Linked DNA regions of Danio rerio. The protein of the gene in region 2 purifies or fractionates together with the protein of the main gene of each other region. This does not show direct contact. Links are inferred from orthologs where the notes say so. Each region holds a gene or a part of one and is shown on either strand. Other genes may lie near its edges.

What was found.
Region 1: the proteins of stat3 (region 2) and ptpn11b purify together in Homo sapiens (affinity purification with western blotting; 3 studies listed by BioGRID). This does not show direct contact. The link is inferred for Danio rerio from reciprocal best matches to the Homo sapiens genes STAT3 and PTPN11.
Region 3: the proteins of stat3 (region 2) and trim59 purify together in Homo sapiens (affinity purification with western blotting; 4 studies listed by BioGRID). This does not show direct contact. The link is inferred for Danio rerio from reciprocal best matches to the Homo sapiens genes STAT3 and TRIM59.
Region 4: the proteins of stat3 (region 2) and ptpn2b purify together in Homo sapiens (affinity purification with western blotting; 7 studies listed by BioGRID). This does not show direct contact. The link is inferred for Danio rerio from reciprocal best matches to the Homo sapiens genes STAT3 and PTPN2.
Region 5: the proteins of stat3 (region 2) and rela purify together in Homo sapiens (affinity purification with western blotting; 5 studies listed by BioGRID and IntAct, with this or other methods). This does not show direct contact. The link is inferred for Danio rerio from reciprocal best matches to the Homo sapiens genes STAT3 and RELA.
Region 6: the proteins of stat3 (region 2) and hif1ab purify together in Homo sapiens (affinity purification with western blotting; 4 studies listed by BioGRID). This does not show direct contact. The link is inferred for Danio rerio from reciprocal best matches to the Homo sapiens genes STAT3 and HIF1A.

Annotation. Positions count from the first base shown.
Region 1 is NC_133198.1:26,914,107-26,917,606, reverse strand, and holds part of ptpn11b (tyrosine-protein phosphatase non-receptor type 11b), read right to left. Parts: intron 3,405-3,500; coding exon 3,288-3,404; intron 1-3,287. UniProt on the Homo sapiens protein: Acts downstream of various receptor and cytoplasmic protein tyrosine kinases to participate in the signal transduction from the cell surface to the nucleus. Positively regulates MAPK signal transduction pathway. Dephosphorylates GAB1, ARHGAP35 and EGFR.
Region 2 is NC_133178.1:15,703,926-15,708,041, forward strand, and holds the start of stat3 (signal transducer and activator of transcription 3), read left to right. Parts: upstream 1-1,316; 5' UTR 1,317-1,504; intron 1,505-4,116. UniProt on the Homo sapiens protein: Signal transducer and transcription activator that mediates cellular responses to interleukins, KITLG/SCF, LEP and other growth factors. Once activated, recruits coactivators, such as NCOA1 or MED1, to the promoter region of the target gene.
Region 3 is NC_133190.1:1,620,635-1,624,571, reverse strand, and holds the start of trim59 (tripartite motif-containing protein 59), read left to right. Parts: upstream 1-1,137; 5' UTR 1,138-1,153; coding exon of another isoform or gene 1,154-1,188; 5' UTR 1,189-1,248; coding exon 1,249-1,307; intron 1,308-3,937. UniProt on the Homo sapiens protein: E3 ubiquitin ligase involved in different processes such as development and immune response. Serves as a negative regulator for innate immune signaling pathways by suppressing RLR-induced activation of IRF3/7 and NF-kappa-B via interaction with adapter ECSIT.
Region 4 is NC_133194.1:13,490,921-13,494,420, reverse strand, and holds part of ptpn2b (tyrosine-protein phosphatase non-receptor type 2), read left to right. Parts: intron 1-1,809; coding exon 1,810-1,908; intron 1,909-3,317; coding exon 3,318-3,455; intron 3,456-3,500. UniProt on the Homo sapiens protein: Non-receptor type tyrosine-specific phosphatase that dephosphorylates receptor protein tyrosine kinases including INSR, EGFR, CSF1R, PDGFR.
Region 5 is NC_133182.1:1,094,741-1,098,830, reverse strand, and holds the start of rela (transcription factor p65), read left to right. Parts: upstream 1-1,290; 5' UTR 1,291-1,342; coding exon 1,343-1,349; exon of another isoform or gene 1,350-1,571; intron 1,572-4,090. UniProt on the Homo sapiens protein: NF-kappa-B is a pleiotropic transcription factor present in almost all cell types and is the endpoint of a series of signal transduction events that are initiated by a vast array of stimuli related to many biological processes such as inflammation, immunity, differentiation, cell growth, tumorigenesis and apoptosis.
Region 6 is NC_133195.1:22,873,867-22,877,366, forward strand, and holds part of hif1ab (hypoxia inducible factor 1 subunit alpha b), read right to left. Parts: intron 3,243-3,500; coding exon 2,986-3,242; intron 561-2,985; coding exon 334-560; intron 220-333; coding exon 97-219; intron 1-96.

The DNA.
Region 1 (3,500 bases), on a different chromosome or scaffold from region 2:
AAAGGTAAATTGCATCATAACAAACTACCTCAAGACATGGGCGATTTATAATTGCAGCAAACTGTTTGCAAGCATCAAAAGGGTCCAAGAAGATGTCCAAAATCTTTACACGCATTGACCCAGAGACTGTTTAGATGCATGTCACTGATGAGAAGATGACAGATGTTTACTGTATGATGATCGAAATAGCCTTAAACACCCAGCTGGCACAAGACGTCAAAATGACATTAGATTGACGTTGTACCCCAACGTCGTGGAGACGTTACATTTTGTTTGGAATTGAAAATCGGGTTGACGTCAGAACTCAAAGTCAGACCGATGCCAATGTCCAACATACAACCAAAAATCAACCAAATATCAACGCCAAATGATGTTACTGTCACGGTATGGGGGTGATGAAGAGGAGGCGAGGACCCAAATGCAGGGAATGAAGAGTTTAATGAAAAATAAAACAAAAACAAAACTCAAATCTCCCCATGTGGGGAAAAACACAACATATTACACACTCAACTAGACAAGGTCTGGAACTTGACAAGACAATACATTAAACCACTGTTGTAGACTAGAAATCAGCAGATACAACAGAGAAGGGAACAATCAATAACGGACCAGCACGGAACAGAGCACACTAGGAGAATAAATAGGAAAGACAAACCAATAAACAGACAGGCGGACAGGTGAAAATAATAATTACAAACAAGGTAACAAGGTGGGTGGGACAAGACAATAGACGGGAGAGCGCATGACACAGAGAGACAATACAAGCCATGCGCTCACACAACACAACACTGAAGCACACGACAAAAGCACGTGACCACAATGTAAACACCGAGCCACGTGCTTTGACAAAAGACGCAAGACACGAGCACACGATGAATGAAAGCACTCACCGTGCGCGCACACACACGCAGCGTGCATGCTTCATCCCAGCGCCGACCAAAACCGAAACCAACAAGACTGAGACGCTGGGAATGAAACACCACGCTGCTGACAAACGAAAACACAAACACGAGTACAAGAGCGCACGCGTCTGAGTGACGCAGAGCGCGCGCGCGGCCGCGTCAAGCAGGAACGCGCACACTCTACGTACACCCATGACGGCGCGCGCTCACACAGAGACAGAAACAGGACCCGACATGAGAAGTGTCAGAGCTCTGCCACCAAAACAAGAATTTACAAGACCAAAGTGGCAGAACCCTGACAGTTACAGTTTGACGTTGTGTGGACGTTACCACTATGACGTCTATCAGATGTTGGATTTGGTTGCCATACCTGATGAATAAATGTCAGTATTTGACGTCAATATGAAGCTAGTTTTAAGGGGTGGTCCAGAATGTAATTTTAAGGCTTAATTGTGTTTATAAGATGCAAAGCAATGTGTGCTCATGTTTCACTTGAAGGAAATCGCGTTATTTTTTCATATATCTCACTTTGATTATACACAGCTACTCAGCTAACATGAAAATGACTGTCAAATTTCCTAGTTCCTCTGAAAGGCCTGCCCTTAAGTGACTCTGATTGGTCATCGTCATAATGTGCTGCTATTCGCGGATTGGCTCCACGTCACGCCCATGAAAGCATGCGCTTTTCTGCTGTGTAAACAATCATTCAACCACCTGCCTGCTCACTAAAATAAAATCTGACAAGTGTCTGTAACGAGTGAAAATTGGGTGCAGCTCCTTAAAGAGACCTTGTCTTTGTGTGTGTCTATGTGTGTGTGTGTGTGTGTGTGAGTGAATGTTGTCTGCGTCTATGTGTGTGTGAGTGTGAGTGAATGTGTGAACTTTCTGTAACAAGCGCATGTGCACGGGAGTTTTTTTTTCTTTTTCTCTGATGCTCGGATTAAGTTATTTTCTATAATATATCGTGACAGAAGAATAAAGCACAAGATGTGTGAGCCTTGATTTATTATTCTGCTGCTACCACGAGTCAGGTAAGCTAACCTGTATTTTTTTAACTCTATGCTTTACAAGACGGCTTTCATATATATCCGGAATATGCAGGTGTAAGTAATATGAATCATCTACATATCTTTTGCGACTTCATTATCTGAGATGTGAAAAACATGGAAAAACTGCCTGAAGACAATCAATGCAAAGTCGCGCACACACATAAGAGTCACGAACGTGCTGGTGGAGTGTGTGTGTGTGTTTACAGCAGTTTGACTGATAAATATGAATTTGTAGCTAAATCGTTTGCCCGCAAAGCAGCATTTCGCATTGTTTACATCGTTGCTACAGCGTACCGTTAACGCTATACACTGTACATGTCATGATCAATTTTAACAAATAAAAACACTTACAGGTTGTAGCTCACAGCTTCTGCTTTGAGGAGATTTTCTGCTTTTGCGCCTTACCTGCGCAGTTTGTATGCACAGTAAACGAACCTTTGTGATCTCACAGGGGGTGGAAGTATTTTTTGTAGTCCCCAAAATTTGTTCATTGTAGGCTTAACTCCGTAAAAATCAAGGTCTCCCTTTGCATTAAATTGAGAACTTTTTACATTCAGAGATGTTGTTTATATTCACACAGCTACATTACACATCAACTAAAGTTTAAAATATGATATCATAGTGGACCACCCCTTTAAGTTGTTGGCTCAATGTTTTTGTTCACTTCCTAAACCCTAAAATCAATCAAATATCAACGTCATTTGACGTCATTCATCCTTGGACTTCAAAATAACGTTCCTAGATGCTGGCTAACCATTAAATTTAGGTCACAATCTAAATCTAACCTAATATTAACGTCTTATGACGTTCTGTGCCTGCTGGGCAATAACTAAATGCACTACAGAATATTACGTTTACACACATCCACAAATTAAATGGTACTCACTACTCGAGTACTTTTAAAAGGGCTACTTTTTACTCATACTTAGAGTAATATTTACAACAGATACTTTATCTCTACTTGCACTACATCTACTTGCACTACTTTAATTTATCTAAGTATGATTTTTTTTCAGTACTCTTTCCACCACTGCATTTCTTAATATTATCAAAGTTGAAAACAATGAATATTTTCTTGAAGAATTTGTGAACTTTTTTTCATGATTCATTTCAAACTAAATATAAAATTGATTGATATAGAAACATTTTTTAAAATTATACATTTCTTGGTCACTTTGTCAATTTAGTGCATAAATATAAGTAATGGTTCTTTAAAAAATAATAATAAATTGCAGACCCAGATCTTTGAAAGGCACTTGTTTTGCATTTGCAGCTACTGTAATTGCTTGTCTGAAGGAAAAATGTGTTTCTTTCAGGCTTGGTTTGATTTACTCACCTGTTTAAGGTGCACAACAATTCCACTCTTCTCGACCATGGGGTTTTTCTTATAATGCTCTACTAAATCTGCTAAGGTGTCAAACCTCTCCCCTCCTCCTACATCATATTTTCCATCCTGGTAAAAGACATAAAAAAATTTTTTTTTTTTAAATAGACATTTATTTTAATCTTCTTTTTTTTCCTTAAGGAAATAGTGAAATGTTACCCTGTT
Region 2 (4,116 bases):
GGATCAAAAGATTAGCCAGAATATTGTAAAAAAAATAAAATAAAAAAAGCCGCTTGATTATAACAGAAAGTTAATTCGACATGGGTGTCCTTTGGGAATTTCAGAGGGGTTTTTATTACGATATCTGCGGTTAAAAATACAGTCGTATACCTGGAAGATCAATTTTTAAACTAAAAGTAACAATATAATTAAATTATTTTTTATTTTCTTCGGGAAAATCAGAGGGGAGTTTTATTTCAATATGTGTGGTCAAAAATACCATGGTAGCTGCACATATCAGTTTTGAAATAATAAAAATTATAATATAATAAAAAAAGCAAATAAAAAATAAACATATACACACAAACCTTTTAATCATAAATGCAAAAAGATGTGCAGCTATTGACTAAACCAGACGTCTTCATTTACAAAGCTATAGTCCAGCCAAGAAACTGTTTATTTGTTTGCTCAAAGTTTACAAAGTTATTTGTAAAGTCAAAGTTTCTAACATAGTTGACTTTTTAAACTTGATATTCTTAGAAATAAATAAGACATTATTTTACACTATACTTACTCTAACTTGATATGAAATGATGATTAAAACATGTTTTATTTTGTGTTCACACACTTAAACGTGCACAAAGTTACAAAATATATATATATATATATATATATATATATATATATATATATATATATATATATATATATATATATATATATATATTTCGTTATTATTCTATTTATTATGCTTTAAACAACAGATACATGATGATATACATGGTGATAGAAAGTAAATGATAACAACAATACATAACATAAATAAACAAAACAAACATAAAAAACAAAAGTATAAGTAATTAACTAACATTCTTACAAATACAAATAAGCAAGACATTTACATTAATCAAAAATATTGAAACTAGAGCACAGTTGGACAGTTTTAATGGCTTTTCAATTATCACTATGCTGAATAGGTGCACAAAGTTATATAAAGAGACGCATTGATGACGCCAAACGTCACGACAGCACACACTTCACATCCACTGAATTAAAAGTCCAGATGACGTAGGCGCTGCCAGTAATTCAGATGACTTCCAGCCGTGCTGTTCCAGAAGCTGGATTTCCCCCCGCTGTGCTGCGTATCACAACACGGTTTTACACGGGAGGAACCGGCAGCCGGAACAGCCTGCACAGCCAGAGCAACAAACACAGGCGGCCTCGAGCTGGCGCGCGCTTAGTCCCGCCTCTTCTGCGCCATTCGAGCTCAGCGATTGGACAGAATTCTAAACTCGCTCGCGACTGCGTCAGAGACATGTCAATCAAAGCGGAACCGCAAACGTGCAGCCCATTTTCGCACAGACCACCGTAGCTCGCGTGTTTGCAGTGTCAGAAAAGTTGGAAAAGCTCGTTTTACGATAGCATATCGTCTCTAAAACGCTTGTTTTTGTAGTCAATAACGTGTTGACTGCGCTTGTTTCCGTGGAGGACGATTTATCTGAAACCTTGAGCGACACATTAAGGGGTAAGTTGTCCAGCCACGTCGCTTTTTTAAAGGAAAACGCAGTTTGACGCAATTTTTGGGGATGTTTCTGTTGTGTACATTGCTTTCTGTTGTCAGGTGGTTCTGCTTGTGTTGATGTTTGAATTATGTTATAACGTTAAACCGCTAGATTGATTTCTCGTGACGGAAATAATGTACACATTGTTTCCACTTGGCTGTTAAATGAAGCTAAAAGATACTGTGACCTGACTAGACAACAGTTGATACTTGTTACATGTGTAACAAACAAACTCGTTTTAGTATGATGTCGATTCAGTAGACGTGACAGAAGTATTAAGAATCATTAAGTTTGCTTGAATGAATGTTTGTAGAGTTTATTTCTTCTTCACTTGATCTGTTGTAGTTGTTTTTTTCCTCAATGCAGATTTTGTTTGTTTGTGTCATTTTACGCTTATAGATGCCATTTCTTGTCATTGGAATCCATTCATCCTCTCAGAGTCGGTCAACAACGCTTTATCTGCATGATTGGCAGGGTATAATAGTGGAAAAGTGTATCAGATAGATGCTGGTGGAGCAAAAAAAAAAAAGACAATGAAATTGAGCAATTAAAAAGAGAGAGAAAAAAACATTGAAATGGAGCAAATAAAAAGAAAGAGACAAGTGTTAAAAAGGCATAATTCTCATAAGTCAATTTTACTGGCATTTATATTTACAATATTGCACCTCGTGATGAAGTACTTGCATACACTTGCAAAATAAGTACGTGTTCATAATAATAATAAATATCAACCAAAATTAATAGACAACAAGCTGTTTAGCAGTACTAGAACCACCTATAGTACAAAAAGTCTCTTGATTTCACTTCTCATTATTGTTTAATAATCTGGCTTGGATTTGCGCCACCGATTCAGCATAAAAAGCGCATTGTATGCCAATCTGGCAGCTTTCGTACTTGCATTGGTTGGATAGGTATCTTTTTTGTTGTTTTTTTTTTTTTGCCTCCACGGGTATTCCCCACCTCTGCCCCATGACGTCACTCTTCCAGTACATGGCGAGGGAATCCTCGAGTAAGAGGTGATGGAGACCGACCTGCGCGCGCGCTTTTGCTCGGCCACTGCAGTCTCGCTTCTGGCTTTCATGTCGCCTCGCCGAGTTTTGCTTTACTCGACAAATGAAACCAGTTTCACAGTTCCCACCGACGAGAGATGTGCACACGTTAGACACTGGTGCACTCTGATTGGCAGTTTTTCTCCGTATCTCAAGAGAGTGTCCTTAAAGGGACAGTTCACCTTAAAATTCTTCATTTACTAGTTTAAAGCCTGTTTAAGATTTCTTCAACTGTTGAACAAAAAAGAAAGATATTTTGAAGAATGCTTTTTGCTGGCACCCATTCTCTTCCATAGTAAAAAATACTGTGGATTTTAGGGGGTCGTAGCAACCAGCATTCTTCAAAATATCTTCTTTTGTTTCCAACAGATGAAAGAAACTCATCATGTTTTAAAACCACACGAGGGAGAGTAAATGATTACAGAGTGTTTGGGTATCCCTTTAATGTTTTTTTTTTTCAGAGGCAAAAATAATTTGGGGGTGTCAAGGTGGCGCAGTGTTTAGCATGATCGCCTAACAGCAAGAAGGTTGCTAGTTTGAGCCCCGGCTGGGTCAGTTGGCATTTCTGTTTGAAGTTTGCATCTTCTCCCCGTGTTTGTGTGGGTTTCCTCTGGGTGCTCCAGTTTCCCCCACAGTTCAAAGACATGCGCTATAGGTGAATTACATAAGCTAAATTGGCTGTAGTGAATAAGTGTGTATGAGTGCTTCCCAGTTTTGAGTTATGTCTGCAAGGGCATGTGCTGCGTAAAACATATGCTGGATAAGTTGTGGGTTCATTAAGCTGTGGTGACCCCTGATTAATAAAGGGACTAAGCTGAAAAGAAAATGAATGAATGAATAAAAAAAAATTTGCTATCAAACATTGATAAATAAAATTGCTATCATGCATTTTAATGATTTACAAAAGACACTTACTAAATTTGTCATTTACTATTACCTTAGATATTATTGGGGCTGCACAATATATCATTTCATCATTGATATCGCAAAGAGCTGACTGTAGTTTAAATAAATTGAGACCAAGAAATTATAATATTTGTAGCTTTATGATAGATTAATCGTATTAAATAGTTTATGGTGAATTTAATGGTCTTATTTTACATTTGATTATTTGATAATTTGTGTCTGAATATGGAACACAACTCAGAAAAAAAAGCATAAAGCTCTGTTTGTTTCAGTTTTATCTTTGCAGCGTTGTATTTAATTATGCTTGTGATTTGTTTATTGTATTTCATGAAGATATTTTAGAAGGAGTGTTTCTACTAAAAATCATCCCAATCAAACTAAAGTTATGAAGTATTTCCAATTTTAAGTCAGCTGACAAATTGTAATAAAATCTTAAAATCTGAAAAATCTGAAAATTGCTGAAAAACAAAATATCGCAATGTCAGGTTTTTTTTCCCAATTTTGTGCAGCCCTTTCATATACCTAAAAACCGTGTTTTAGAACAAAACTCATTAACAGGGTTTCTGCAGGGTCATAAAAACTATCTTACATCTCAAAATCCAAGTTTAAGGCCTTAAAAC
Region 3 (3,937 bases), on a different chromosome or scaffold from region 2:
CAATTTATATTTGTATATAGTGTTAATAAATACTATTAACAATAAGCAAAAGTGTTTACAATTTCACAAATACTGCAATCGAGAAGGGCGAATGGGGAGTGTTGTTTATTGCCATTCAATATAACAGACTGATCAGCTTTCTATCAGTCATCATAGATGATCCGTCATTAATTATGAACTGTCGGAGTCTATAGCAGATACTCGATTGCTGTATGTCTTGATTTAAATTGGACAGGTTTGATTTATATAATGGATTCATTTATAATAAGGGAAATAATAGCAAGTTAATATGCTATTGTTAATAATAAATTCAATATGTAATAAAAATAATACATTAAATATGTAATAAAAATAATACATGAAACATTTTATATGTAATAAAAATCTTTCTACGTGTAACAAATGCATAACACTATTAATATTTCACTCAAGCCATTTAATAGTATTTTATTTTGTCTAATATCGTTTTTATTAATGATTTCCCACATTAAATACTATAGTAATTCATTGTAAGCAACATATTATTTTTAAACCATTAATTACTGGTCATTTGTTGTACTTATAGTTGCAACAAATTTACAATTACAAACAAATCAACTGTTAATAATTAATTAAAATTATATATATATATATAGGTGAGACGAGTGCACGTTGCAGAGCCCGGCAAAATGTTCAATTCTGGCGTCAACGGGTGTCATGAACGGGTGTGGCCAGTGTTGGATATCTGCAATTTAATCAATCGTGGCCTTTGATTTTATTTACTGTTGAGAAACCTAATGAAAGCGGTGCATTTTCACGGCAGGGGTGCGTTTCTCGACACCTGTTTGGCGCGTGTTCTGGCAGCCCTGTTTTAACTGTTGTGAACTGCAGGTGTCGCCCGTGTGCCGTGATTCAACCGATTCCAGTCAATTAATCATTTTATGAAGCTTTAAACTCTTCCCTTTCCTACCATTTCGGTTGAGTCACTTACCTCGGAAACTTTTTCGAGATTATAAACTCAAATACAGCGGACTGATCACTGTTCATCTGAGTTTTCAGGGCGAATTTCAACCACAACTTCCCACCAATCACATTTTCCGTCTCAAGACGCAGCGTGTTGCATTCAAGACGTAAAATCAAGAGATGTGATTGGTGGGAAGTTGAGTTTGTGCGCATGCGTGGGAAGTGTTTGTATTTCGGTTTGACTCGGTAAGTTTGCGCTTGTTTGTGTTTAATAAACATTAACACGCTAGAGTTAACATCTGTTTCATGTCCTCTGATTATCATATTTTACAGGCAGTGAAGCGGCTCAACAACTGTTGCTGGAGGTAGTTTTAGTGATGTCGTCTGAACTTTTCATACTTGTTATTACGTGTGTAAATGCACTTTTACAGGCGCTAGGACACATTTCTCAATAGTTGGGACACTTTTGCTAAACTCTTGACAGAGTGAAGCACAACAGAAGTCTCAGTGGGCTAAACTGAGGATCTATCCTCATAGTTTTGGCACAAACTGCATTCAATGCCCATATCTCACACAGACACAACTGACAAAACTCTGTGTACTTACAGGACATTTTGCACATGCTTATACTGTTTTCAGAACTGATGTTCAAAACAATAACATCATGCAAAACTGAATAAGACAACAAAATTCAACAGAAACATTTTATCGAGACACATTTCACATCTAGAAATGCAGTTTAACCAGCCAGATTAGCATAACTATTGTATATTATATTATATATATATATATATATATATATATATATATATATATATATATATATATATATATATATATATATATATATATATATTATCATATTATATTATACTATTGTCTCTATATCAGTGGATGGTGTGTACACAAATACTTGTATTTTGGACCCTGCTGAAAAATCCAGCTTAAACCAGCCTAGGATGGTTGGCTGGTTTTAGCTAGTTGAGCCTGGTTTTAGAGGGGTTTTGATCATTTCCAGGCTGGTTTCCAGCCATTTCCAGTCTAGTTTTAGCTGGTCAGGCTGGGAAATGACCAGATAAAACCAGCTTGACCAGCTTAGCCAAAACCAGCTATGTCCAGCTTAAACCAGGATGGTCAAGTTGGTTTTAGCTGGTCATTTTCCAACCTGACCAGCTAAGACCAGGCTAGAAACCAGCCTGGATGTGGCCAAAGCCCCTCTAAAACCAGCCAACCATCCTATGCTGGTTTAAGCTGGATTTTTTAGCAGGGGAATTGCTTAAAATAAAATACAAATAAATAAACAACTTAAAATATTCTGCATCATGTCTGATTCATTCCAGCAACATATATTGCAGTTATGAACTGAGATGTGTCCTTGTTTTACACCAGAACACTCAGTGTAATGCTACACATTGTTGTTAGTGTGTTTAGCTTATTGTTTTGTGGGTGACAGAGTGTGTTTGTGGGCTGTCCTCCTTTGCTGGTGTTCTGGAGGAATGAGTTTATTTGAGAGCTGAATACAGTGTTTTGGTAGTCGTGGAGCGTTTTGAATGTGAAATGAACTGCTTTGCCAAGCTGAAAGTCGGTCTGGAGAATTGTGTGAAGAGTTTTGCAGAAGTGACCCAAGTATTGAGAAATGTGTCCTAGCGTCTGTAAAAACTGTCAACATGCTTTACTTCATTTATGCATCAAGATTGTCTTTATTAATATTCATATGCATTATAATGGAAAAATAAGCCCTGTGTGAGTAGAGAGTGGGGATCGTGAACACTTTCCTTAAGTACATTATCATGGCGGGTTTATTTTAGGTAGTCGATTTTATATGAAGACATTTTAATTCTCCCACAGTTGAACAATTTATTGTTTATATATAAATGTCATGCAAATGAGTCTTCAGTTCTGTCTCCACAATCACTATAGCCTTAGTTTTATTAGCATTATGCATTTTTCATCACTTCTCCAAATAATTCTGAAATCTATTGGTTTTCTTCAAAAAATTGCCAAAAAGATTTGAATTATTTTTTAAAAGCACCGTTTTAGGTGAATGCAGTTTAATTAAATTGTAATTTAATGACATTTACTAGACACTTGTAATTAAAAAAGCTGCTAAGACTTGGTTTCCTTTAAGTTTTGCATACGGATGGGAATGTTGTTAAAAAGTGTTGTTTATTGCTGCTCAGAAACCCAAAGAAAGAAATAAACTGTTTGTTTTTATTTTGAAGTAAAAATAAGTGAAAAGTGTTTATTTAAACATTTAAACAAATAATTTTACACTGAAAACAAATGACAGAACAATGCATAAATACATAAAAAGAGTCATTTTAAACAAAAGTTTTTGTCTAACGTAAATCTAAGCATCATATCATCCAAGTATTTCCCTTTTAAAGACAAAAAAAATCTAGTCAAAGGCTGCTGATCCTGTCTGAACGGCACTTTTGATCAACTATTTTACAAACATGTTTGGTATTTTCATTTATTTTTCATACAAAGTATACAGCTTATCAGTGCAGTTCTTGTCATGTGACTCTCAGAACGCAAAATTCATGATATTGTGAACGGCCCTAAATTAATAGCCTTCGCCATAGATTAAGTCAGCCTTTAATCCAGTGTGCGTATGGTGTACAAGTTTGAAACTTTATACAAATGCACAGTTGGCGTAAAAGTTGTTGCAGCAGTTTTGTTACGTGCAGAAATGTGATGTTGAGAAGCCTTACGATTAATTTACCATGGTGAAATCTGTTAATCGTTGCATCCCTAATTTAAGTACCATTCATAGGCATTGACAGGGAAAGCTGTCCGCAGACATAACATGCACTCCAGTATACATTTATTATTGTTAAATTTGGCGAGGCAGTGGCGCAGTAGGTAGTGCTGTCGCCTCACAGCAAGAAAGTCGCTGGTTTGAACCTCGGTTTAGTTTCTGTGTGGAGTTTGCATGTTCTCCCTGTGTTCGCGTGGGTTTCCTCCACAGTCCAAAGACATGTGGTACAGGTGA
Region 4 (3,500 bases), on a different chromosome or scaffold from region 2:
ATTATATAACAAACTAATTTTGTAAGACTATTTAAATTTAGAACTATTTAAATTATACTAATTTAAAAAAAAACACATAAGCCAATAAAATAATTAAATTTTGTTGACAGTGGAGAATCATCATTTTACCAGCATTGCTTTGACAGCACAGTAGCGTACTGCAAACAGCAGGAACATGTATATATCATAGAAATGTCCTGTCATGAGAGATTCATCCTGATGAGAGATATACATGTACATGAGCGGATTATACAGTGCACAATATTAAACTTAACTTAATCTTAAACTTGACTGCACTTGTACAAGCTAATTGGTGGTTCACTCTGAATCACTCTTGTGTAGAGCAAGCCATTGAAATGAATAGGTTTCTGAGTGCTTTTTACATGTGGTGTGATTTAACTTGCTTCAAAATGCGCAGTGACTACAGCTGGGGGGAGAGTAAAATCAGTGCCCTGATCACTGCACAGTTTTTCGGCTCATATTTTTGGCAGTTTTTCTCTTTCAGCCAAAAATAATAATAATTCTGCATCCCTATGTGAGACTTCTGGTCTCATTCACTTCCATTGAATTTGATCATATCAAACAGCTCTTTATTATTCTGGTATTTTCCTATCGTATTTTCTTTTTAATGTATAGTCATAAACAGACTGGTTTGTAGGGCAAGCAGTTTATTTATTTACATTTAATTCCTAAGTAGATTTATTATAAGATTAGATTATTTCTAAATAGAATGTTGTAAAGATTTTACTAGTATCCACACAGTTTATTGCCTTTGCCTATATCTGTTATGATTATTGCGGAAGAATCTAATCTAATCACTAATTTGTGTGTATTGTACTATATAAACTGATTTTATTATATCCACATATTGAATAAAATATGTATTGAATATTTAATCCTAAATTATATATTTTTTTAAGTTTGCCAATGCCTGTTCAATTATTATTATTAAGGAAACTATTGTCACTGTATGGGTTTGTTCACTGTGGTATTACTTTTACTTCTGCAGTTCACTTCAGTTAAATCTTACATGTTCTTTTAAATGCTCTGCCAAAACTTGAGAAATAATTTGAGATATTTCATGCTGTTTTGCATGCAGAAATCATATGAATGTTTGACTAACACCTTTACACTAATGCTAATGCTAGCTGTATGAATACAAATATGAAGAGTCAAGAAAGAAAACAGTCATAGGACTTGTTTTTAGTGTTAGAAAGGTTTTGTTTTGATGTTGCGACTAATTTGCCTCAAGCAGGCACTTTTCTTGTAAAGATATTTTCAGTAGACTAACCTACAGGGAAAGCTGTGCTCAGACACACGCAAACGATTTTGCAAACCTTAATATTAATCTTAATAAAACCTTATTGTAACCCTTCTGTTCCACAACCTTTGCTTTCCTTAATTTCAGCACTGACAGTTATTTTATGCTGATGTTACTATAGAACGCTGTAGGCAGGTGGCAGGTTTACACCTCTGATACAAAGTTGTGTGGGTAGCATACAGAAGCTCACAAATACATTAGTCAGCCATATGAAACATGGCTTTGGTTTGATCTTTATTTTTAACAAATGTGTAGGTGTGTCAGACTTTGTGGTGTTGATTTTGCATAGCATTTGTAGAGAAGTGTAAGACTACATGTTTATGAAATCAACTAGGGTTCACTCTGTGAACGGTAAACTAATCTGCCTGAAGAATTAGGCTGGTTTTGGGTTCACATTTCTTGGGAGCTGTTACATAAGTCAGATTCTTTTGAGCATTGCGATCAAACCCTACTTATTGTCAAACTGGACTGTGTTTCTTTATTGTCAGGGTCCTCTGAGAAACACCTGTGGTCACTTTTGGCTGATGATCTGGGAACAGAAGACCAAAGCAGTCATCATGCTTAATAGAGTAATAGAGAAAGGCTCGGTAAGAATAGATCCTTTTCTATTTAAAAGCACTACTCTAAGATTGTTTAGCCTCCATGCTTTTAAAACAAACACAAAGTCTTTCTCTAAGTATGTATTACAGAGCTCCATAGAGTCTCTGCAGGTATATGGGAGTATGTTTCAAGTAGAACCACATGAAGGAATAATAGAGGTCTAGAACATGTAGTGTTATTGTTGGCTGAAACTATAGCATTTATCAGAAAATCAGAAAGTAATATAAATATTTTTAATGGTGTTTTTAAAAAGTGGTTAAAAACAAAACAGCAGTGTTTGCACAAATAGTCTACTGTTAGTTTGTTGGATCATGTCGTCTTTGCTTTGCCTTCAGTAATTTAATGTGAAGAATTATAATGTTGTGTATATTTATTTATTATATTTCCATTTTGTCAAGCCTCCTGTGGACAGGTGTTGAGAATTAGCAAGTTTGCTAAAACACTTAAACAAATGCATTTGGTTGTCCAGTGTAATTGTGATGTCCATGTCAAATAAATAAATAAATAAAAATTATAGAAAACTAACTGAAATAAAATAAGTAAAATTGAAAATCTATTTTTTATACAAAAGCACACAACAATGCTGTTTAAAAAAAAAAAAAAAAAAATTATATATATATATATATATATATATATATATATATATATATATATATATATATATATATATATATATATATATATATTCAGGTAAAAGCAAATTAAAATAAATTATGCAAGAACTGTATTTAAGTATGATATTGAAACATTTGAGACTATTGTCTTAATATTAAGCCACAAAAGTACTGTTTAATGTGACTGTTCACCCAAAAATGAAAATTGTCAGTATTTACTTTCTCTTTACTTGTTCCAAACCTTTCTGAGTTTCTTTGTTTTGTTGAACACAAAAGAAGTTATTCTGAAGTACATTGGAAACCGGTAACCATTGACTTCCATGGTATTTGTTTTTCCTATTATGGTTATCCACGATTTTCAATTTTCAACAGAACAAAGAAACACATAAAGGTTTAAAACCTTTATAAAAAGGGAGTGAATAGTGAGGCAGTTTTCATTTTTGAGTGAACTATTCTAAAACTATTTTAGAAAAATTACATTTCATCAGGCCCTACATTAAACTGAGCATTTTGTTCAGTATCTCAGAAAGCAATATATTTTCTTTATATATAGAGGTATTTACTGTAAACAGCAAGTCTATATTAGGCTTTAAGAACAAAAAGTTGTTTAAAGAAAGCTATAACTAACACACATCTTTCATTCAGCGTTAATCCAAGTGTTTTGCTTGCTTTACTTATTTAATTGCATGTAATAATTTACTTTGGAATATTAGTCATCATATTTCAAATGATTAAACATTTGAGGCAGTGTTATTAATCTCTTTCTAAATTTTGTTATGAAGGAAAAGTGTGCACAATATTGGCCGACACAAGAAGAGAGAGAGATGTCTTTTCGTGACACGCGTTTTGTGGTAACACTAGTGTCAGAAGACGTGAAGTCATATTATACCACCAGAGTGCTGGAACTCCAGAACGCAAATGTAAGTCCCTCATTTTGACTATTGAAAATCACAATGTTGACAATA
Region 5 (4,090 bases), on a different chromosome or scaffold from region 2:
TAGCTGGATTAGCTTGTTGGGTGGTCATTATAACCACACTTTTTGATGTACCAAAAATATTTATTTTAGGGCTGTCTCTCATCCCTGTATGAACAGAGTAGGAGTCTGATTCGCATTGCCAGCAATACAGTTGAAGTCAAAATTATAAGCACCCTCCCTGCTGACAAATCCAGCCTAAACCAGTCTAGGCTGGTCGACCAGGCTGGTTTAAGAGGGGTTTTGGCCACTTCCAGGCTGGTTTCCACCCATTTCCAGCCAGGTCTTAGCTGCTCAGGCTGGGAGATGACCAGCTAAAACCAGCTTGACCAGCCTAGCCAAGCTGGGAGTCCAGCCAAAACCAGCTATATCCAGCTTAAACCAGGCTGGTCAAGCTGGTTTTTGCTGGATTTGGCTGGTCATTTTCCAGCCTGACCAGCTAAGATCAGGCTGGAAATGGCTGGAAACCAGCCTGGAAGTGGCCAAAACCCCTCTAAAACAACCTGGTAGACCAGCTAAAACCAGCCAACCAGCCTAGGCTGGTTTAAGCTGGATTTTTTAGCAGGGCTTTGCATCTGTTTTCTTTTTTAAATATTTCCCAGATGATGTTGAACAGATTCAGGAAATGTTCACAGTATGTCTGATAATATTTTATTCTTCTGGAGAAAGTCTGATTTGTTTACATGTCACATTAAGCTGTATAGAAGTGTCTTGAAGAATATCTAGTCAAATTCACTGTCATTATGATAAAGAGAAAACAAATCAGTTATTAGAGATGAGTTATTAAAGCTATATGATTAGAGATATGTTGGAGAAATCTGCTCTCTGTTACACAGAAATTGGGGGGAAAAAATAAATAGGGGGCGAATAATTCTGACTTCAACTGTATTTGACAAATTCTGGACCCTAGTCATTTAGGGCTGGGTCTTCTGAACCGCCCTGGCTACAGGCCTGGATAGTTTACTAGATAGTTGAATATAAGTTAGATGATTATGTCAGACTTTTCTTAGTGAAGAAGCCAAAAGTATTCTCATTATTTGTCACCAAATACAGTATATTATTCCAAAAACAGTGAATATGTAACAAGACATCTGAGTCCATATCTTCATTTGACATTGATTTTGGTCGACAAATAAGTTTGTATTGCTAAATACTGCCCATAAGCTAATCTACAGTGCGCGTGTGTTCTCAGCAGTCGTGTTGGTGATGATGAATCGCGTCATCCGGGTATTTCCGCCCACGGGAGCGCGCCTGCTGTAGTCCCGCGGAGGCGCGCGGAAGGAAAGTGTTGTCGCGGTGTGTCGTTTATTTTTCACCGTCGCCCGGAAACGTTAAAAAGTGACCGAGAGCTGTGGAGACCCGCGACATGGACGGTAAGTCGAGCTTTAATGCCGGGTTTCTGCATGTGAACGGCGCCAACGGGGGGTTTGCGGTGTCGCGCGGAAGGGAAAGTCCCGCCGCTAAACTTTTACTCTCGGTTTCGGCTGAGAATCGATCGGTCCCCTGTCTCCGGGGCTCAGGTCGGTAAACGGGTCACGAGAATCAAACACGACAACCATTACAAGGCTGCAGAGCTGACGTATCGCGGCCTACAGGTGTGTGTGTGTGTGTGTGTGTGTGTGTGTGTGTGTGTGTGTGTGTGTACACAAACAAACAAAAACACTTTCAAATACTTGTCAAAAAGTCCTCAGAGATCACGCGATACGCGGAAAGTGGCTTGTTGACAAGGTTACGTTAACTTATGTTACTTTTCCTGGTAACGTTAACTGCTAAGTTCTGTGTGGGTTGGTTAATGCTAGTTAGTAGCTAGTAAACTTCATCGCCTGTGTGAGCTAACGTTAACTGACGTAGCGAAAGTAAAGATGCACTAACGTGATATTTGTATTATGTGGCTGCTTGTTCATTGTGGACATCTGACGATAAACCTGTTTAGGGGTGTGTTGGCTAGTTCTGGTTATAAACTCATCTCCTTCATGGACTCACTGATTTAGCACAGGTAAAGCTACTCAAAGTATATCTATACTCTTTATTTGGTCACTTGTTCATTGTGAATGTCTGATGATAATACTCATGTTTAGAGTGGGTTGGTTAGTGCTAGATAACTAGTAGTCAATGAACGCCATTATTAACTCTTTGATTTAGCAAAAGTAAAGGTACTTTGTCACAATATTTATGTTGTTTGCCCACTGGTTTATTGTGAATGTCTGATAAGGAACATATTTTGGGGTGGGTTAGTGCTAGTTATGGCTAGTAGTCATAATCACCTTTGTGAACGCACTGATTTAGCGTGAGTAATGCTGCTTGTTTATTTGGCCACTTGTTCATTGTGAATGTCTGATGATAATACTCATGTTTAGAGTGGGTTGGTTAGTGCTAGATAACTAGTAGTCAATGAACTCTATTACGAACTCACTGATTTAGCAAAAGTAAAGATACTTTGTCACAATATTTATGTTGTTTGTTTGCCCTCTGGTTTATTGTGAATGTCTGATAATGAACATATTTAGGGGTGGGTTAGAGCTAGTTATGGCTAGTAGTCATAATTACCTTTGTGAACTCACTGATTTAGCGTGAGTAATGCTGCTTGTTTATTTAGCCACTTGTTCATTGTGTATATATGATAATAAACATGTATTAGTGTTGGGTTGTTTAATGCTAGCTAACTAGTAACCAAAGCCACCTTTTTGAACTGGTTTAGAGAAAGTAAAGCTACTCTATTACAATTTTTGTGCTGTTGCCACTGATTCATTGTGAATATCTGATGATAAACCTGTTTAGGGGTGGGTTGGTTAGTGCTAAAAAACTAGTAGCCACCTTAATCAACTCACTAATTTGGCAAATGTAAAGCTACTCTATCACAATAATGACCACAGGTTCATTGTGAATATTTGATAATAAACATGTATTAGTGTTGGGTTGGTTAGTGCTAGCTAACTAGTAACCAAAGGTACTTTTGTAAAGCTACTCTATTACAATATTTGTGTTGTTTATTTGGCCACTGATTCATTGTGAATATCTGATGATAAACATGTTTAGTTGTAGGTTAGTTGGTTTGTGGTAGCTAACTAGTAACCAAAGCCATGTTAGTGAACTGATTTAGAGAAAGTAAAGCTACTCCATTACAATATTTGTGTTTCATTGTGAATGTTTTATAATAATAATAATAATCATAATAATATTAATAATAAGCATGTTTGGTAATAGGTGGGTTGGTTCGTTCTAGTTAACCTGTTAAAGTCTCCTTATATAGAGTAAGTAATACTGCTCAAAATGTTGTTTGTTTGGCTGCTTGTTGATTGTGAATATCTGATAATAAACCTGTTTAGGGGTGGGTTGGTTAGTGCTAGAAAACTAGTAGTCAGTGTCGCCTTAATGATCTCATTGATTTAGCAAATGTATCACAATAATGGCCACAGGTTCATTGTGAATATCTGATAATAAACATGGGTTAGTTAGTACTAGTTATGGCTAGTAGTCAAAGTGTCCTTTGTGAACTCACTGATTTAGAGGATGTAATGCAGCTTGTTTATTTGGCCACTTGTTCATTGTGAATATCTGATAATAAACATGTATTAGTGTTGGGTTGGTTAGTCATAGCTAACTAGTAACCAAAGTTACATTTGTGAACTGATTGAGAGAAAGTAAAGCTGCTCTATTACAATATTTGTGTTGTTGTTAGTGGTAGGTTAGTTGATTAGTTCTAGTTAACTATAGGCATTGGTCGGTATAAGATTCTGGCGGTATAATAACCTTGGATAAAGATACCACAGTTTCATGGGATAGTGATTACTGCTCTAAAATATATTCTTTTTAAATGTCTGAGTAAAAAACTAAAAGTTTCCCTTTGAATACAATATATCTTAATTTGAGAAGTATTTAATATATTTTGGAGCAGTAAACATGTCAGGTTGAATAATTCAATGAGTCACTGACCTCTGCTGTCTTCATTCATTTATTCATTTTCTTGTCGGTTTAGTCCCTTTATTAATCCAGGGTCGCCACAGCGGAATGAACCGCCAACTTATCCAGCAAGTTTTTACGCAGCGGCCTCAACCCATCTCTGGGAAACATCCACACACATTCGCACACACACTCATACACTATGGGCAATTTA
Region 6 (3,500 bases), on a different chromosome or scaffold from region 2:
ACAAGTCATGCCAATAAAGCTCATTTGAATTAGAATTTGATTTTGGGAGAGAGTGAGACAAACAATATGTAGTTAAAATCTTAAATAAAAAGTTACCTGGGTGGAAAAAGGTGTCTTTGCTTCGGTATCAATAGCAAACAGTTTCTCAACCAGGTCGAGTTTAAATTCAGAACTGATGTCTGGTTCCACTGGGAAACCGTAATCCATGGGGCTGTTGGGCTAAGATTGACAAAAAAAAACAACCTAAAGTCAGTGACAGTATCTCATTAACCATTACAAGGGAGCAATTGTTGTTAAATGACCAAGAATAGCAAGCGTTTAATAAGTGTTTACCCCCGAAGAGCCGAGTCCAGATGTGGAGGGTGTGTTTGTGGGGTCTGGCACACGATCAGAGGCAGAGCTGAAAGGGAAGTCCTCTCCTCCAGTCTCTAGTTTGGTCAGAGCTGGGATGGAGTCGCTGGGTGTGAGAGGAGATAGGCTGAGTGGCAGCTTCTCACTGCTGGAAGGCAGCATGACATCATTGTAGAGGGGCACCTCCTTCAGCAGCTGTATGTCAGAATCTGGAGGGAAATGGATACCGGTAATTATTATTGGTAGACCACCAAGGAACTGTGTGTATTTAATATTAGATTTACTTCAGTAAAATTATGAAAGCACATTTCCTGTAATCTCAGATGATTAGTGAATGACAAGAGTTGTTAGTCTTCATAAGATAAAAAGCTGCCAGGGGATTGCATTTAATCCTCTAAAGCAGTGTTTCTCAACTATGTGCCTGGAGGACCACCAACACTGCATGTTTTGGTTATCTACATTGTCTGTCACACCCATTATAGGCCTTTCAGTCTCAGGGAAAATGTGCAGAGCTGGTGGTCTACCAGGAATGTGGTTGAGAAACACTGCTCTAAAGATACACACTCTTGAAATGTTTATGGTCAGTAATACAGAGTTCACACCAATTGCAAGTTGAAGTATTCACATGAGTAGATTACATCCAAATTCAATGCAAAATTCTGTTAAACATAAAAGATGACTTTAGCAGAGTATAGGAAGTTGGTAGCCATTAGCTATGTAACAAACCTAGATTATCGCATAAAATGTGTGTATAAAGCAGCGTTTCCATCAAAGCGAACAAAATAGTCATTTCCTGATTAACTGGCACCAAATATCAACCAAAAAAAAAAACGAACTTGCTGGAGTAGAAGAAGCTGTGTCAATCTTCTCTTCATCTAATAAATGATTTGCACCTTAGAAGGCAATCCTGACACGCAATGAATGCGCAGTGGCGTTTGAAGGTGTGAGACACGAAGCACAGACGCTCTTGATTCTGGAGGTCATTAATAATATAATAACACTAATACTTAAACGGTAAGGCAATTTAGAATGACCAAAACAACATTTCAGCTGTTTTATATTGTGCTCAGCCAGCTGGTTTGTCCATTTACAAACATTTTCATCACATGATCTCTTATAACAGAATCACATGACCATTTTTAATGCTCATAATGAAATTTGTGCGGTAAAAGTGTTTTCATCGTAGTTTACACTTCTTTTCTTATCGAATAACAAGTTTATCCTACTCAGTTAAGCGCATAAGTTCATGCGCATTTTCAAAATGTATGCGCATCGTGGCGTTTCCATCAATCGTTTTTTTTTTTTTTTTTTTTAAATAGGTGGATCGAAGCATAGCTACTGACTTACATTGTAGGAAAATAAATACCGTTTAAGTCAAATGATACTAGTTTCCATCATTCAATAAAGAAACAAACATTTTTTTCTTCCATTCAGCATGCGGTATGAACTTCCATTACAACAACTCTTCCAGCAGTTCATAGTTGCATCCAACATCTCGTTTGTCATCGGGGGCATGCACGAATGAAAGTGAAAGTGCCAAACCGCAGTTAAAGTTGACAAATTAACAATAAAACACCCGAAATTACATGAAACTTCGGAGGAAATGCGGATAATGCGGTGACGCAATGACGGTAATCTAAGTATGTGCTATAACATGTAAAATGTGATCATGAAAGAAACTTTCAAAAAGCAACTCATGTAAACGCCTTTATCTTATTATTGTAGATTAAGGCAAATAATTCGATTACTGATGTCCATGTAAACATAGTCAGTGAAGTCTCTTACGTTGCAACAGAAATTTATTCTCTAAATAGACGTGCATTTGAACTTTCTACTCATTAAAACATTACAATTTTCAACAATGACTACAATAAATATTTCTTGAGCGAAAATCTGCATCTTAGAAATGACTTCCAAAGAATCCTGTTAAACTCTAAAAGCATACATCCCTGTTCATACATCCCCCAAATTACACTTTAAAGGTTTGTTTATGTTTAATGCCATGCCAGGTTCTTTGGTTATTTTCATGGCGAGAAAATATCAACTGACTGCAGTAAAGCTTAAGTATTTTTTCATTTATTGCTAAAATCTCTTAAACCATATTCGGTTTAACAGTGATAAAAATGTATTCAAAAGTAGCATAGTGGAACTAAATAAAAAAATGTCTCAAAGAATTAAAGCCAACACAAACTGTGTTGAGAGAGAACATGCTTCACAGATAAAGTGCTTTTGCAAAGACAACAGATTGGAGGATCTACTCCTACAGGTGAAAAACATACTGGGAGTATCTATAATTGTACTAAAAAACTGCGTGTCATCTTTGATTGACCCATTCTACAGTGGGTATAAACAACTTGATTCCACCAGTTAGAAATTTTAAGGTTTCTTTATCAATATTGGGGCTAATTTCACAGAGTTCACTTTAACTGTAAAAAATTAAAACTATAGACTAGAAGTGTTAATAAACATTGCAGGAATGTCCCTTAAGACTAATCTAGATGTGAATATATAAAAAGATATGTGCATCTTTGCTCATGGATCTTTTAATAAGCTCTCATTGAAACTGAATGAATTTAGGTGGCTTCCAGTTACTCTCAAATTACTGAAAAAATGTACCCATCCAGCAAGAATTACCTGAGTTGTTGAAGTCCAGAGAGATAATGGCGTCGCCTGCTGCAGGTGCCAACACAGTGAGGGCCTCTGGCTCCTCTTTCAGCTTATTATAAAGTGTAGAGCTTTCCAATGAGCAATTGAGGCTTTCTGGCTTGAAGAGCTTGAGAATATCCAATTCAGAGGTCTTTTCCTCAGTCTCCTCACTTTCTTTCTCAACAGCCTTGGGCTCAGTCACGGTCTGCTGCAAGGACAGGACTACATCCCCCTCTACAATGCCACTGGATAAGACAGAGTAGTAAAGTTGAAAATATGAGTTAATTAGCATTTATGCATACATTTTACATAGAAACGCACAATATATCATTTCAGAATCAATATCACAAGTGAATCCACAATAGTTCTATTGCAGGACCTGCAATGTCAAATTAGGATTATAGTTGACCAGGAACCACAGGAGTTTTCAAATACATGATTTGTAAAGTCATTGCTAATTTGAACTTTAAAGGTACAAAAAGTTTAACATTTGTATGTTTTTA